2 linked regions of the Arabidopsis thaliana genome follow. The protein of the gene in region 1 purifies or fractionates together with the protein of each later gene. This does not show direct contact. Each region holds a gene or a part of one and is shown in the gene's direction. Other genes may lie near its edges.

The links.
Region 2: the proteins of CPI1 (region 1) and CLV1 purify together in Arabidopsis thaliana (affinity purification with western blotting; one study listed by BioGRID). This does not show direct contact.

What each region holds. Positions count from the first base shown.
Region 1 is NC_003076.8:20,508,044-20,516,709, forward strand, and holds CPI1 (cyclopropyl isomerase), read left to right. Parts: upstream 1-3,623; 5' UTR 3,624-3,812; coding exon 3,813-3,819; intron 3,820-3,904; coding exon 3,905-4,035; exon of another isoform or gene 4,036-4,285; coding exon 4,286-4,369; intron 4,370-4,520; coding exon 4,521-4,562; intron 4,563-4,712; coding exon 4,713-4,823; intron 4,824-4,911; coding exon 4,912-5,103; intron 5,104-5,306; coding exon 5,307-5,404; intron 5,405-5,710; coding exon 5,711-5,783; coding exon of another isoform or gene 5,784-5,888; exon of another isoform or gene 5,889-5,921; coding exon 5,922-6,038; 3' UTR 6,039-6,206; downstream 6,207-8,666. Other genes in the region: AT5G50365 (uncharacterized protein), read left to right, coding at 118-519, 728-733; AT5G50370 (Adenylate kinase family protein), read right to left, coding at 1,339-1,440, 1,516-1,605, 1,703-1,870, 1,958-2,223, 2,468-2,588; EXO70F1 (exocyst subunit exo70 family protein F1), read right to left, coding at 8,339-8,666. UniProt on the Arabidopsis thaliana protein: Converts pentacyclic cyclopropyl sterols to tetracyclic sterols.
Region 2 is NC_003070.9:28,460,693-28,470,285, reverse strand, and holds CLV1 (Leucine-rich receptor-like protein kinase family protein), read left to right. Parts: upstream 1-3,314; 5' UTR 3,315-3,633; coding exon 3,634-6,223; intron 6,224-6,302; coding exon 6,303-6,655; 3' UTR 6,656-6,942; downstream 6,943-9,593. Other genes in the region: AT1G75810 (uncharacterized protein), read right to left, coding at 8,162-8,539.

The sequences.
Region 1 (8,666 bases):
TGAACACTAGCACACTAATAAAACGCTCCTGTTTTTATTGTAGCTAGAACTTTGGTTGGATTATGATTTACACTAGATTTGCTTTAAAAAAAAAAGAAATTCAAGACATATTTTTTTATGGATTTAAAGTTTTTTTTTTTGCTAGTTCTCATTGGAGGAATTGGAACATTCTTAGGTAACATTCCTAAAACCAGACGTTGTGATGGTCACCATAAATTCATATTTGCGTTGTGTGCAACCGGTGGTTCTTTGGTACTAGGTCCTGAGGGTGGAACAAACCATCTCCTAACTAGTGGTTCTTTGGTACTAGGACCTGAAGGTGGAACGAACCATCTTGTACCCGGTGATTCTTTGGTACTAGGTCCTGAAGGGGGAACGAGCCATCTTGTGACGCGTATTGGATCAACTGATTTTTTAAGCAAACTTTCGGACTGTCGAAAATCTTCAGATTCATGTAAGAGGCTCTTCTTGTTGGCTTCAAGAACACCAACAAAGAGGAGAACAAACAATGCTATCACAGTAAAAAAATTTGATTTCGTCATTACAAGATACTTTTACAAATTGTTAGAACTATTGACTATGTTTAAGTTTTATAACATTGTCATAAATCTTATCTTATCATCTTAGAACTAAAGAATAAGATTTAATATTTTCTAATATGGAATGTGTTCTAAGTATGGTACACTGAAGATATTTTCCCGAAAATATTCTTTTTAATATATAGTAGATTTGACTGAAAAAATATAGGCAAAAACTATTATTTAAATAAATAATAAGAATACAATTCAACATTTTATACCCCAAACATTTTCAAAATTTATCTTACCATCCAAGTTCATTGAAGCTCAAATTGTAATGATGATATCTTTATTCAAATATATGAATTACTTGTATTTTATTCCTTTTTTTGTTATCCAAAATAAATCTATAAATCTGAAAAACTTGAATTTCACTAACTATGGTTTCATATCGCTTATCTCATTGTGATGATGAGATGATCTATATACAATTCCGTTGGAATCTGTTGGATTCCTGCTCTACCAATTCTTACAGTTGATCACCAATTCTTTATAAGCTACCATTTTGTTTTCAATGTTATGCGATTCTAATGTTTTCAATCTTCCACTATTTTACTACGATTTTGTTTTTCCTTTATTCACCTGACATTTCCAGTCGCAAACAATAAGCCTTAGTGAAACACACTGCACAAAACTGCAGCAAATGTTGCTCTCAAGACAAAAGACATTCCGGGGGAAACAAATAAAAAAACTCAGGAGAGTTATTTAAGATAAGCAAAAAAAGATACATCTTAAACTGATGCCATTTCGTTTTTCAGTTTCATGTAGACACAACCTTCTTCACCACTTTTGTAACCTCTTCCGGGGCCTTCTCTGCCGGTATGTTCACCAGATTCTCCTTCTTCGCATAATAGTCAATTACCTGCAACAACAACAACAAGAACAAATGTCAAATTCTCTGATAGTCCTCAAGTTCATGTACTATAAGGAAACATACCGGTTGCGTCTGCTTGTGGAATGCATCTAGCCTTGATCTAAGAACATCCGCATTGTCATCTTTACGTTGAATCAATGGCTCTCCAGTCAGCTAACAAACAACGAAGTTGATACAGAGATCAAATCACAAGAGAGAACTCGATTTACTAAGTCAAAATGATGAATCAGAATTTGATGGTTTTTCTTACATCATCGACTCCTGGAACTTTAGGAGGTGCGAATTTAGTATGATAGCTTCTTCCACTTGAAGGGTGAATCCACCTTCCAGTAATTCTTTCTTCGAGAACCGAATCATCGATCGCAAAATTAAGCACCTTATCTATCTGAGCTCCCCTTCTATTAAGCATCTCATCAAGCTACAAGATTTATAAACAAAAAAAGTCAGAACATTTACAAGAGCGAGCAGATACACAAACAACTAACCACAGAAAAGAACCAGAAACCTTCTCTGCTTGAGTCACAGTCCGCGGGAACCCATCAAGAATGAAACCTTTCTGACATTTGGGTCTGTTCATTGCTTCATCCATGATACCAACAACCAAGTCATCAGAAACAAGCTCTCCCTTATCCATTGCTTCCTTTGCCTTCACACCAAGAGGAGTCTTAGCAGCAACAGCAGCTCTAAGCATGTCACCAGTAGACAAATGACACAAACAAAACTCATCCTTTATGACCGGAGACTGTGTACCTTTCCCTGAACCAGGTGGACCTGCAAATTCCAAATCATACATGAACCAAAACTCAATTCTTCCTTTCTATTGAACCAAAAAACACAAATTCACAATCCCTTCGCTATGATCATCAGATAAAGCATTAACGATAACAGCAAAATGCAATTTTTACACACTAAAACAGATAAAAATCGGAACTTTCGCTACACAATTTTCACAGAGATCAAACCTAAAGTACCGATTGAGTGAAAGATTCAGAGGTAACGAAAGAGATGATTGTACCGATGAAAACGAGACGTTTGTCAGGTTTAGAGGCACATTTCATACGGCGAAGAAGCTCAGACATGAGATCAACAGTCTGAATATCTTCCATATCAACAGAAGCCGCACTGCTCGTTGCCATGTTCGTCGTCGTCGTCTCTTACAAGAGAATTAGATTTGGTCCGGTGGAGTTGTGTTCTCTTTTTGAAGTGCGTGTATTGGATTCGATGCTTCCAATGTTTTCTTTCACCGTTTTACGATTTTACCCTTAACTGTGCCAACAACTACAAAGGCCTGCCCTTCGAACAACAACAACCTGCCTGGGGTTGGTGACACACCCAACTCTGAAAACGAGTCTTTCTTCTTACACATCTAATATCGCACATTTTTCATAATTACATAAAATCAAATATCATATAATACTTCCAACAAACCATTATGTTTTAGGTCAAGTGAACCAAAAAAAGCGGACTAGAAAACATAGAATAAGTAGAGTCTAACACATTTTTTCGGTTTTAAGGCACGATGGACCGGTCATTTGTCCAATTAACACTAGTGTTAAGAAACTTAATTTGATATTAAGTACTGAGGTTGAAGATTTTGCTAGTTTATGGTAGACTTATGAATATCAGTATACCACTAGACCACATTCACTTTTCGTCAATAAGACAATTAAACTCTTGAAAACCCACATTTTTCTTTTTTTTTTTTGAAAGCCAAACTCCATCAATGTTTGGTTATTAAAGATATGAATGAATACTACATCATTAGTTTCTTTCTTGATAATTTTTGTATATTTATTTATTAATAAGTTTTTGTATTTTTCTAAATTCTTAACATTAATAAAAGAGTTTTCCAAAAAATGCAAAATAATACTATAAAATTCAAAATAGTACATAATATAAGCTTTTTTTTTTCCAACTTTACATATATTGTAAACGTTTTTACGATCACATACATCTGCTTTTTGAAAATTCTAAAAATATAAATAAACTCTTTACCTCAAAAGTTTCAATTTGCTATATACATTTTTTTAAAATCAAATTTAACAATAAAAAATAAAATTAGATTACATATTATTTTAGAATTAAATTAACATAGGCCCACTTCTTATGTTGGGAAAAGGGAACAACAAATATAACAATTTAGCAACAAAGAAGTAGAAAAAAGAGGTGATGTCATAATAAACGGTAAAATAATAGGAACGATGAGCGAGCGGATCTAGCTTTCGTCAAAATCATCATCACTGAGTACATCTGCCACGTCAGCTTGATTGGGATCTATTTGGTCGCCCGTACACAAAATCTCGGCTCACTCACTCACACTACTCAAGTCAACGTTTCTAAGATTCTCCGGCGGAGCGATTATGTCAGGTAAAACTATCGCCGATCTCTTCTTCTTCTTCTGATTCGAATCTCTCGTCCCCATTCCCTGATTTTTTTGATTTACATTTGATAGGATCTTCTTCACCGAGCTTGTGGCTGGCACCGAATCCGAGCAAGAGATGGGGAGAGCTCTTCTTCCTCTTCTACACTCCTTTTTGGCTCACTCTCTGTTTAGGCATCGTTGTTCCTTACAAGCTTTACGAGGTCTATGCGATCATCAAATGAGCATTGTTTTTAAGTGTCTGATGTATTTAGGAGACGATGAGACAGAGTTGAAGTAGCTATTCACTTTTTTTTATCTGCTAAATTAGATCAACAAAGTTTATGAAATGATGTCTCATTGTTTACCATGTCAGTGTTTTAGAGATCTGAAAATTTTACTGTTGTATGAAGTTGTCTTTTAAGTGGTATTGAAGAAGTACTAATAAGTGTTAGTTACTTTGCAAACTAGCAGACATTCACGGAGTTGGAGTATCTGCTTCTAGCTTTGGTTTCAGCTGTTCCTGCTTTCGTTATACCCATGTTACTCGTTGGAAAGGTTACTTTTTGACAACTTTTGCTTTCACTGTGAGCTAACGTGTTCGTGGTGCTATACTTGTTTGTCTACTAGCTACTTGCTTCCAATTGAATGCAAATCTCTATTGTTTTCCTTACCATATGGACTCAGAATATATGCATTATTCTTTCAGGCCGACAGAAGTTTATGTTGGAAGGACCGCTATTGGGTTAAGGCAAGCTTTTTTTCTATGTGCATGACATTTTGGCTTGCCAGTTCTAGTTTCAAACTATTTTTAGAACTTGTTTTAACTTCCTTGAGTACTGGTGAGAGTTCTCAAGATCTCATCCATAGTTGTACTGATTGGAACATGTTTTTACCACAGGCAAATCTCTGGATAATTGTTTTCAGCTATGTCGGAAACTACTTTTGGACTCACTATTTCTTTAAAGTTCTTGGAGCGTCCTATACTTTTCCATCATGGAAAATGAATAATGTAAGCACAGCATTATCTCGGCAGATTTGTTCTATTGAGTAGTTTTCTTGTTTCCATGAGCTTATGGCAGGGGTTTTGTGTTGAACAGGTGCCTCACACAACATTCTTCCTAACACATGTTTGCTTCCTCTTTTACCACGTTGCATCGAACATTACTCTTCGGAGGCTACGCCATTCCACTGCTGATTTACCAGATTCTCTGAAATGGTGTTTTGAGGCTGCATGGATACTTGCGCTTTCTTATTTCATTGCATACTTGGAGACTATTGCTATCGCAAATGTACGTTGTGATGTCTACATTTCTTTGATAATTTCCTATAAAAAGAGCTCTCTACTTGGTGTTTTATCATATATCACAAATTCCTCTTATAGTCTGCTTAAAGACTACGTTTATCTACTTAATCATTCTAGAATCTTGTTTAGAAACTAGTCACTTGACAATAACCGCTCATATGTTCTGTTTTTGTTTTCAAACTTGTGCAGTTTCCTTACTATGAGTTTGTGGACCGAAGTGCCATGTACAGAGTTGGATGTCTTTTCTATGCCATTTACTTCATTGTGAGCTTCCCAATGTTCTTCAGGTAAAGAAAGCATAGTTTTCTATCATCTCATAGAAGCAGTGAATCTTTTCACCTTCATGACTGTTGCATATCAAAACTGAGACAAGTGATAGTTGTTAGATACACCGGATTAATTGATTGAATTTTCTTGAGAGTCTTAAAATATAGGAATTAAAGACTTAAATGGAGAACCAGGTCTTTCTCAAGTGTCTTGAGGAGTTCTTTGAACAGTCTCTGTGATATGCTTCCGTCTCACCTTCTTATTGCTATTTGATTACCTCGAGTTGTTGTCTATCTGTTTTCATATGTTTTATTCATTGTTTGCAGGATGGATGAGAAATCAACTGATGAATGGGATTTATCTCGAGTGGCTGTTGATGCTTTGGGTGCTGCTATGTTGGTAACAATCATTCTTGATCTATGGCGTCTCTTCTTGGGACCTATAGTTCCCTTACCGGAGGGACAAAACTGCCTTCAGTCTGGATTACCATGGTTCTCCAATTGAAGATTGAAAGATCGGTTACTTCCACCAATTCAGGGAATTGACATGGGACTGAGAGAGAAACCTGCAAAGGAATTTCCATTAACACTTTACGGAATTGGGAAGCAGTTAATGCAGGGCATGTTTCTAAGGCTTTTCTTCTCCAACTGCTGATTTGTTTGTTAGTTGTTTTTGGTTTTCAGTTTCTCTTGATGAACTTTCCCAATGTAACCTTTCAAGTTATCCTTTATAGAACAGAATGGAACTTCGTTTTTTGTTGTGGACTCGATATATTGGTTCGTCCTCTTAAGTTCATTAAAACAAGAAAGACCATAACACCATTGAAAGAACCAAAACTTGATATTAAATGGTAAAGTCTCATCACATGAAGTAGCTAAGGGCTTACTTTACTTCTGCAACCTCCCCCGTAGCATTTGTTCCATTGTTGTAGTCACTAACTTATATGGGACGACTGTTGCAGTGCATAACTGCAACCACAATCAGAACACTAATCTCTGGTCCAAGATCAACATTACCTGGTCCTGTGACCATCCATGATTCCTTGAACAAGTACACGTTCTCAGTTCTTTGTCCGTAGACCGGTTAGTAGTGGGAGATAGAACAAGACTGCTCTCCGTTTTTGTAATCTTTGCATCTGAGAATATTAAGGAGATACGACTACTAACCGTAAGAGTTTACTTGTTCATATATGTCATAGTTTTAATGTGGTTTGTAATGAGTCTTTGGAGTGTAAGAGTTTAAAAATGATTTAATATAAGATCTAAGTCTCATTCACATAAGATAACCCTGTTTCAAGATACAACAACAATTCTATTATAGGAGCATCCTTCAACTTTTAAATATAAAAAACATAAAACACTGAATCAGAATCATACTGATACTAACTCAGGTTTATTGTAGTTTCTTGAATAAAATCTGGAAAGAATAACAAAACATTACTGCCACAAGATCAGAAAATGAAACAACCCAAAAATATTTCAAGAGTGTTAAGTTGCCATTATTGTATCATCAAAATAGTACTGCCACTAATGCTTTATACCATCAATTAATGCATGACTGACCTCGTTTCTTCTAACCCAAGTATATGCTATTCACAGAACAAGAAAAATACTTCCCTGAATCCAGACTAAATCACACTAACTCATATATCAACACGAAGGAGAAGAGTATGGACCAAGAAAATTGAGAAATCCAAACTCCGATTAAGCCATTAAGGCAAAAAACCATCCATGCAAAGAGACATATAAATTCATAGGGAGAGAGACAAAAACACGTAGCAATAAAAAAGCAAATGAGTACAAAACAAAACAAAACAAAATAGAAGATTGTGCAATGTAACGCAAGGACTCATGAAGATCATCATACCTTTGCTTTGAGAATCAGGATGGACAACTTCAGACTTGTGTAACCCCTTCTTTTTCGTCAAGATTAATTACTTCTTTTCGAATTCAACGTGAATGTAAAAATCTCTAGAGATCAAATTTTAAAACATCAAGCAGTCTAAACATTAAACAACATCAGCTTAACACAGTTTAAACGCATTAACCACTTTATAAAATGTTGAAACTATTTTTGTAACCCACAATATTATAAAACGCATGTTTCTTGTTTTCTAAAGAAAATCTAAATTTTGAATTGATCAATTTTTTGTCCAAATCTTCTATGATTTCCTTAGGGAGAGCCACAACCTGATTCCAAGCCCAAGAAGAAGGATGCTCCACGTTTTAAAGTTAATCTTGGAAGCGAGCGACAATGCTTGGGATGGAATGTTAAAGGTAGCAGATGCATACTCTGTTATCATAGTCTATGTCAAAGTATGTGGATATGAATAGTTTCCATGGTCGTACTTGTCCAAGAAACTTGGATTTGTATTTTGTAGCTACTCGAACACAAAACTTGAAACCAAGAACATTTTTTTTGGTGCCAATAAAATAACACACTGGTCTAAGTGACATGTATGTTTTTATGAGATTTGCTCTCCAATGTGGCTCAACCTGTGTTTTCTTTGGGTATATACATACTGGATTTTTGGCCGAAGTCTTGGAAACAGATTATATCTGTGATTTGGAAAATGCGGAATCACCCACTATTATAAACTGAAATTTTCTTAACTTATCATTTCTATGCAACAAACACACTTTTACTATCAAATCTAAGTACAGAGATACGTTACAACAAGAAAGTAATATCATCCAGCTCCATATATATAGCAAAGACCATTTGATTCAAGAGCATAATCATTATATAAAACCCATGGTCATAACATGATAAGTATTAAGACATGTACATAAGAATTTTGACAGTGTATAAAAAGGGTGTAAGCCCGACTTTCACATATATAACTTAAACCCCTGACTTATATGTTACCTGGCCACTATCATCTTTCAAACAGACAAGATTGTCCTTCAAGCAAGAGAGTCCTCGTCAATCGTCATCATCTTCTAGCAAGAGCCTTAACTTTTCCTTCTCGGGTGGTGAATAACCAATTGATTTCCTTCAAATAGGTCTGGTAAGTAACTCTCCAGGTCATCTGGTGTGTACTTTATGTACTTTCCAGCATGCCTACCACCTTCTAGTTGACTCCTATTCCTTCCGAAGAAAGCCCGGTAAGCCGGGATTACTTTCTCTGATATAGATATTCTCAGTTCTTCACGAAGTTGAGGATCCGGGACCTTCCAAGCCGTTTGCAGCCTGTATAACTCTTCAAAGCTGGCATTAAAACCTCTGAATCTCTCTTTTAACGCCATCTTGGAAGAATTGTTGCTTCTTTGTCCATAACTC
Region 2 (9,593 bases), on another chromosome or scaffold:
TATAAAAGCCCCCACAATTAAGCACCAAAGAGTTTTGGTACATTAACTTGGGAGGAAACAGAGACACTTGTTAACTGGTAAGGCAACATTTCAAATTCCATATCTTGTTCTCTCAAGTCCAATGCATTTATCCTTGCACGCTTGATTGTTTAAACCATTTAGATTAATGGGTTGGCATTGGTCACGCTGATCCAATGTTTCAAATGGGTAAGTGAATGTTGATTGCCGACGTGACTGAAGACCCAAGGCCCAACGACCTACTGGTCCAGGTTGACTATGAACAAAAGAACTAGATTTTTTTTTCCCCTACATTTTAAAGAAAATACTTGATGAAGATGTGGTGCCTTTTCATAAGATCTAAAAAGTTTCAAATCTTTACGATGGAACAAAAAGTGAAAGGTGAAGTAAGGGTCATTTGGGATTGAGAAGTTTCTTCGTCCAAAATCATTGCATGAGTTGAATAGATTTGGGATTAAAGCTGCCAATACAAGAGGATTCGGTAATGACTGAAGCAAAAGCCCAGCAGGGCCATTAGGCAAACACCAGTTTCCAAGACGGATTTGTGTAAGACCACTTATGACACAAGTTTGTCTTCACTATCATCATCTTCTTCTTCTACTTCTACTACTACTTTTGTAGCCTTGTCGTTTTTATCATTAACATGATTGACAAGACTATGACCTATATATCTTATTATTATCATTGCTCTCTCTATTTGTTTATATTGATTATTACTTTTTGAGATTTTTCAATGGTTTTATCTCTAACTAAACATTATAATTAGTGAAACAAGCTTAGTAGAAGTAAAAGTATTATTCTATGCTAAAGTACATTGATTAGTAGAGTGTGTAATTGTGTATACAGATAATCTATAAACAATTGGTGCATCTGTATATAAAACTTTATGATTTATTTATTGTATTTAATAAGTATATGAATTGGGTACCTAACTTTCTAAACAGTTCCAAATTTATTCTTAAATCAAATTGCATATGATTTTTAAATATTTTGAGACGATTTTATTATAACGCAAACAACAGAGTAAAAGAAGCATATGTTGCAAATTGTACTATGGCAAGTTCAAATCGAAACATTTTTGTGAAAATCAAACATGTGAACCAAGCTTCTACAGTTTAATTCCCTTTCGTATAATTTAATTTCAACAAATTTATTGATATCCATCTAGAAATTGGTCCAAAGTTCTTTCACCCTTGAGTCATTTAGTGATAAAGATGACATGATTTTTGGTGATAAATTTTCCATCGTTGCTATATGTCGTTATATTATTCTCCTATATGTATATTATACTATTTACATCAGAAAATAATCCAAAGTTTAGAGATTCTTTTTTACAATAATAAAATTTCCCACTTACTAAAAAGAGCTCCTTTTCTGCTGAAGAGAACCTAAACCTTTATTCCCAAAGTTCATTGAGTTAGAGCATTTTCAGCGAATCACATAAGAGATGCTCTCTTCTTCATCACTAATTGACATCTCATTGTTTTAAAGGTTGCACTTGTACCTGTTGATCTGATTCTCAATCCACTTAAGTTAAACCAAATAGACACGAGAAAAAAGCACATTTATTTGTTGCTAAGTATGCATATTTTTCAGCGTTTACTTCTTAATCTAATGTATATCATAAGATAATATCTAAAAGAGAATGCACAAAAGATTATTAATATGAGAAATTCGCTGCCATTTAGGAAGGACCTTTATACCAATATACCGCAATAATAATAGAACATTGGTCCCCAAGTGTATGTCAACCCCAAGTGTATAGATTTCTTTAAAGATTAAAATCCCTTTTTGTTGCTAAAGCACCTGATATATTTTTCTATCAAACTAAAAAAATTGTTAGCGGGATGAAGATATATTCGCCAAGAACCATAGTGCTTGTATAACGGCAGACCATTAATTCACAACTATTATTATTTTATTGTTAGATTGTTGATAGAATCGATTTTGATTGTGGCAGAATCGATCTTGTAAAAACTGCTTTAAGGTGCTTACTTATAATTAAGAAAGATTCACTTATGTAAGTTAAGCATATTAATCATATCATTCGGCCTAATTCATTAGGAATATTTTGCTATTCGTTTTGCCATCATTAACAACAAAATTGACACGTTTTCAGCCAAAAGTATTAACAACTAAACCTAAAACTTCAAACATTAAATAGTTTTTAGTATCTTTAGTTTCAAACTAGTGATTTGTCCTAATATCAACACTACGAACGAATTTATATACATTGAACTTTTTTCTGAATCACCGATTACAAAACGAATATAATTTGGTATCGGCAGTTGCTATTAATTTGATCGGTTTGGACTTTGGACTAATCACGATCAAATCTTAAATGGACCGAAGTGAATAAATCCCTAATGTTTTCAAGAGAGTCACACGAACGAAACAAAGGTAAAATATGAACATAGAGCGTGGGGACCTTGAAGCAGAAGGTCTGTATGGTGACAGACCGGTGAGTGGAGTGTATGAATGAACGAGAAGTGAGAAGACAAAATACAAGAAAGAGCGTTGACTTGGAAGTTAAAGCCAAAAAAACCACAAGGGGCAAATTTGTCTCTTTAGGAAAAGGACACAGACAGACTTTCTATACGGGCCAATTAGAAAAATAGGCCCTACTTCTAATTAAAGCCCATTTACTTCTCTCCTTGTCTTCTTATTCCTCTTTTCTCCCCATCACGTGACGACGATGCTATAAACGCCGTCGGATTATATAACTGGTGCCGTTGACAAGACGGCGACAGAAGAAAGAAAGAAGAAACCACAGGCTCTAGGGAACGTAACGTTATGTCCTGTCTATAGCATTTATAACGGTCAGATCAACGCCGTTTAGATAAAGATCTGTCAATGTTAAAGAAGAGATGCATCTCTACACCGTTAAATTTAAAACGCCGTGAACCTCTTATCTATTGATTTTTGTTTGATGAAGCCAAAACAAATCGTGTCAGAAGACTTATCAGAGAAGAAGAAAACGACGACGTTCCCGTTTCTCCATGTCTAATAAGTGTAGTAGTGGCGGCTACTAAAAACTCTAAAGTTTGACTCCAGTAAAACTGCCTTTCTAGTGTAATTCCAGTGATTTTAGAGTTTGAATAGTGTGTGACCAAATTTGAAAGTACAATCTCAGCAATATTATTGATCACTCGTTATAAAAGAATCGAATGTAAAAATAGCCAATGAGAGACTGAGACGTATGTGTTTGACCATAAGTCGTATAGTTTGTATCTATCTACCTGCAAGATCAGCAGATGGTTCTCTGATCAATTGTACCTTAATTATCTTTTATTTTCGTAAAATTTCTCTATTCACAAATGATAAATCTACTTAAGACAGTAACCATAACAAGATTTACAAGATAATTTGAAAAATGAACACATAAAAGTATTTTGGCGCATTATTTTTAATAATAACAATATTTATGTAAAGTCACATAAAAGTATATATTCGCTCACAAAGTCTTACGGTATTTAGAACAGTAGTACCACATCGATTCTCTTCATCTTCTTCTTCATAATATGCCATTGTTCATGTCTCTGTGTCCTATCGCATAACACTCACGCTATCTTATTATTTTCTCTCGCTCTTTCTCACTGAGAGGACACTAAAAAAATGGCGATGAGACTTTTGAAGACTCATCTTCTGTTTCTGCATCTGTATCTATTTTTCTCACCATGTTTCGCTTACACTGACATGGAAGTTCTTCTCAATCTCAAATCCTCCATGATTGGTCCTAAAGGACACGGTCTCCACGACTGGATTCACTCATCTTCTCCGGATGCTCACTGTTCTTTCTCCGGCGTCTCATGTGACGACGATGCTCGTGTTATCTCTCTCAACGTCTCCTTCACTCCTTTGTTTGGTACAATCTCACCAGAGATTGGGATGTTGACTCATTTGGTGAATCTAACTTTAGCTGCCAACAACTTCACCGGTGAATTACCATTGGAGATGAAGAGTCTAACTTCTCTCAAGGTTTTGAATATCTCCAACAATGGTAACCTTACTGGAACATTCCCTGGAGAGATTTTAAAAGCTATGGTTGATCTTGAAGTTCTTGACACTTATAACAACAATTTCAACGGTAAGTTACCACCGGAGATGTCAGAGCTTAAGAAGCTTAAATACCTCTCTTTCGGTGGAAATTTCTTCAGCGGAGAGATTCCAGAGAGTTATGGAGATATTCAAAGCTTAGAGTATCTTGGTCTCAACGGAGCTGGACTCTCCGGTAAATCTCCGGCGTTTCTTTCCCGCCTCAAGAACTTAAGAGAAATGTATATTGGCTACTACAACAGCTACACCGGTGGTGTTCCACCGGAGTTCGGTGGTTTAACAAAGCTTGAGATCCTCGACATGGCGAGCTGTACACTCACCGGAGAGATTCCGACGAGTTTAAGTAACCTGAAACATCTACATACTCTGTTTCTTCACATCAACAACTTAACCGGTCATATACCACCGGAGCTTTCCGGTTTAGTCAGCTTGAAATCTCTCGATTTATCAATCAATCAGTTAACCGGAGAAATCCCTCAAAGCTTCATCAATCTCGGAAACATTACTCTAATCAATCTCTTCAGAAACAATCTCTACGGACAAATACCAGAGGCCATCGGAGAATTACCAAAACTCGAAGTCTTCGAAGTATGGGAGAACAATTTCACGTTACAATTACCGGCGAATCTTGGCCGGAACGGGAATCTAATAAAGCTTGATGTCTCTGATAATCATCTCACCGGACTTATCCCCAAGGACTTATGCAGAGGTGAGAAATTAGAGATGTTAATTCTCTCTAACAACTTCTTCTTTGGTCCAATTCCAGAAGAGCTTGGTAAATGCAAATCCTTAACCAAAATCAGAATCGTTAAGAATCTTCTCAACGGCACTGTTCCGGCGGGGCTTTTCAATCTACCGTTAGTTACGATTATCGAACTCACTGATAATTTCTTCTCCGGTGAACTTCCGGTAACGATGTCCGGCGATGTTCTCGATCAGATTTACCTCTCTAACAACTGGTTTTCCGGCGAGATTCCACCTGCGATTGGTAATTTCCCCAATCTACAGACTCTATTCTTAGATCGGAACCGATTTCGCGGCAACATTCCGAGAGAAATCTTCGAATTGAAGCATTTATCGAGGATCAACACAAGTGCGAACAACATCACCGGCGGTATTCCAGATTCAATCTCTCGCTGCTCAACTTTAATCTCCGTCGATCTCAGCCGTAACCGAATCAACGGAGAAATCCCTAAAGGGATCAACAACGTGAAAAACTTAGGAACTCTAAATATCTCCGGTAATCAATTAACCGGTTCAATCCCTACCGGAATCGGAAACATGACGAGTTTAACAACTCTCGATCTCTCTTTCAACGATCTCTCCGGTAGAGTACCACTCGGTGGTCAATTCTTGGTGTTCAACGAAACTTCCTTCGCCGGAAACACTTACCTCTGTCTCCCTCACCGTGTCTCTTGTCCAACACGGCCAGGACAAACCTCCGATCACAATCACACGGCGTTGTTCTCACCGTCAAGGATCGTAATCACGGTTATCGCAGCGATCACCGGTTTGATCCTAATCAGTGTAGCGATTCGTCAGATGAATAAGAAGAAGAACCAGAAATCTCTCGCCTGGAAACTAACCGCCTTCCAGAAACTAGATTTCAAATCTGAAGACGTTCTCGAGTGTCTTAAAGAAGAGAACATAATCGGTAAAGGCGGAGCTGGAATTGTCTACCGTGGATCAATGCCAAACAACGTAGACGTCGCGATTAAACGACTCGTTGGCCGTGGGACCGGGAGGAGCGATCATGGATTCACGGCGGAGATTCAAACTTTGGGGAGAATCCGCCACCGTCACATAGTGAGACTTCTTGGTTACGTAGCGAACAAGGATACGAATCTCCTTCTTTATGAGTACATGCCTAATGGAAGCCTTGGAGAGCTTTTGCATGGATCTAAAGGTGGTCATCTTCAATGGGAGACGAGACATAGAGTAGCCGTGGAAGCTGCAAAGGGCTTGTGTTATCTTCACCATGATTGTTCACCATTGATCTTGCATAGAGATGTTAAGTCCAATAACATTCTTTTGGACTCTGATTTTGAAGCCCATGTTGCTGATTTTGGGCTTGCTAAGTTCTTAGTTGATGGTGCTGCTTCTGAGTGTATGTCTTCAATTGCTGGCTCTTATGGATACATCGCCCCAGGTTAGTTACATGTCAACAACATTAGTACTCACCAAAATGATATATGTTCTGATTATCATTTTGTTTTTGGTTTGCATAGAGTATGCATATACCTTGAAAGTGGACGAGAAGAGTGATGTGTATAGTTTCGGAGTGGTTTTGTTGGAGTTAATAGCTGGGAAGAAACCTGTTGGTGAATTTGGAGAAGGAGTGGATATAGTTAGGTGGGTGAGGAACACGGAAGAGGAGATAACTCAGCCATCGGATGCTGCTATTGTTGTTGCGATTGTTGACCCGAGGTTGACTGGTTACCCGTTGACAAGTGTGATTCATGTGTTCAAGATCGCAATGATGTGTGTGGAGGAAGAAGCCGCGGCAAGGCCTACGATGAGGGAAGTTGTGCACATGCTCACTAACCCTCCTAAATCCGTGGCGAACTTGATCGCGTTCTGACCCAAGCAAGATAAATATGAAAATAAGATGCGAAATGTGGTGATCATTTTTTGGGTGTTCTTATTTATGGTTTCTAATACTTTCGGGTTTGTATATTTGTTGTGTTTCAATTTGTATATTACCTCTTTATGTGTTATTATCTCGAGTATGTAATGTAATCAATATGCTTATTGCTTGATGGCTTTAAACTTTAGCTAATTCTCCGTTCAGAGTGTATAAAATAAAAGAATGTGAGAGCTTTGACCTCTGGATTTAAGTCTAGACTGTTTAGAATATGTGAATTAGGGTCATATCTAAATTCAGGTTTGTGTTAGCTTCCGACAGTGTCATGTTGCAATCTTGACCTTACTTACAAAGTATTTACCAGCAGATGGCTCGGAAAATAAAAAGGAAACACATCTGATAAAAAAAAACACGGAATCAACAGACTAATGGTTGATTAAGAGATTGGACTCGTACTCTGCATTTGGAATAATGACCAGTTTCATTGAGTTCTTGGGGGTCATTCACTTCTCATATTTTTACGAGCTAAGAAAATCACCTCAGGGTCATAACATTGTAGTTTCTGCTCTTGAAGCAAAACACACATAAACTAAGAAACCGGAAAAATTCACAGAAATCAACAACCAAGAAGCTTTAAAAGTTCATGAACAACAGAATTCAACCTCTATAATGTGCATTTTCCCACAAGATGAGGATGATGCTGTGAAGCTAATTCTATCCATAACTCTTACCTCCATTCATAGAGCAATTCAGAGAAGAAGACAAGGCACATAGTCACAACTTATAAACGGGTGTGAGAAGAAGACAAGGCAAATTAGTCACAAATTCATTAAGGTAGAGAAACAAGATCCTTCATTACTCTGTTTTAGTCTCTTCATTAAGAATCATATACAATTTAAATCACAAAACTTTCAAGGCCACAATCTTGATTAACTTGGAAAGACCTGAGTTTCATTCAGATTTAAACAACACTGCAGCTCTCAAAATTCAAAATCGATTGTATAAAGAAAACAAGAACATCTATCATCATCATAATCACTATCCGATTTTACAACATATCAATACAAACAAAAACCTCCCAGCTTACACGAAGAAGAACATCATTACCTTATTCCTTAACTCCGAACACATGTTATTTAGATTACTCTGTTTTAGTCTCTTCATTAAGAATCCCCCAAAATTCTCAATGCCACAATCCTCATTCAGTGGTAAGACTCGAGTATCAACATTCAAATTTGGATAACAGTGCAGCTCTTAAATTCAAAATCCATTTTTACTTTTAAAAACAAGAACATCATATCTATAATCATCACAATCACTATCCGATTTTACAACATATCAATACAAACAAAAACCTTCCAACTTACAAGAAGAAGAACACCATTACCTTATTCCTCATCATCATCTATTACACAGAAAATCTATGAGAAACGTATATATCTAACACATGTTATCTACTTCACAAAAGTCAAAATAAAGAGGGAAAATTCGAAGTTTATATACTCAGAAAGCACCGTAAGGTATATGTTGTGGAAGCCTAAATCGAACCTGTGAAGCCGGAGACCGAACCGCAACGCCGTGCCAGCAAATCCCTCCTTTACAAATCGCACCACCGTCGTGATGGTGACGGTGGTGGCTAAGATCTTCCTCACCACCAACACGATTGTACCGAGAAACCGCCTCCGCTGCTCTACGAGACACATCCCAAGCAAGCGTAACTGCAAGCAAAACACCAACTGCCGTAATCGAAACGACGACGACGAATCCAGCGCTGAAACTCCTCCCGGTGATTAATCCGTAGGCTTTAATCGCGATAATCACCGCCACGTAGATCGTCGCGAGATTCCCGAGAACCGCGTCGGATAACGCCATGAGACACATCTAGGACTTTACTTCTTCTTCACCGTCGCCGTGAAATTCGTTGCGGTGGAGGAAGCTTTTTAACAGAAAAAGTGGAGAAAAGCGAAATTGTGGTGGATGTTGAAATACTCAAAAAGACGTCATCCTTGTCAACGAAGGGAAGGATATTTTGAAATTACTAAAACACCCTTGACAAGATCTTTTGCTTCCTCTCTATGGCTCATCACTAATGCGAGAAGAGTTTGGTAAAAGTACCCTTCCCGTAAAACGTCACCGTTTCGGGATTTGGTCAGACTTGCCACGCACTACATTTATGGGTGTATGACATTCTCACGCATGTCGTTGTCAAGGTCCTCAAAGTCCTCAAGAGGCTCTATTTATGTCTGTGGTCAAAATTTGATCGTCGTACTCAAAAATAAATGCTCTTTGGACTTAGTAATTGTTTCTAACGGGCCTCTAAAATCAGTAATGGGCTCCAGTATTAGACCCATCTTGGTATTAACTATTAAGAGTTCTTCTAATTTGAATAGTGGTGTGTTTCCTATGAGATATTATGGCATGTCTTCATCATATTCCATGATGGCTTTAATCTTATGATATTTTTTTGGCAAATCATATGCAGTGAAACAGACACTTGGTTTATATTTATAGGTTTACTCCCACTGTAAATCAAAGGCATCGTCATCAACTCACACTTAATTAAGATTATCTCTTTAATCTTTTTTCAGCTAGTGGTATCACTATTACTGTGTAGGTCCATTTAACTTTTGAAACTTATAATAGAGAATTTCTTATGGCTCTCATATGCGGCTTGTAAAGTCAAATTATTATTAAATACAGTAGTTGGGACAAGACCATGAAATGAATATTAGTATTATTCATTTCAATGTTCCGAATGGCCAACGCAGCATCAGCAGATAACAATTAAATGAAATATTCCCACCAATAGTTTCCAATATATAGCTTTAAACTAAATAGATTACTGCTTTATATAGTGTACATAATATTCTTCTAATCCTAGTTACATTATAAATCAAATAAATATTCTGACCTTACAATTAAACATTCCCATCTT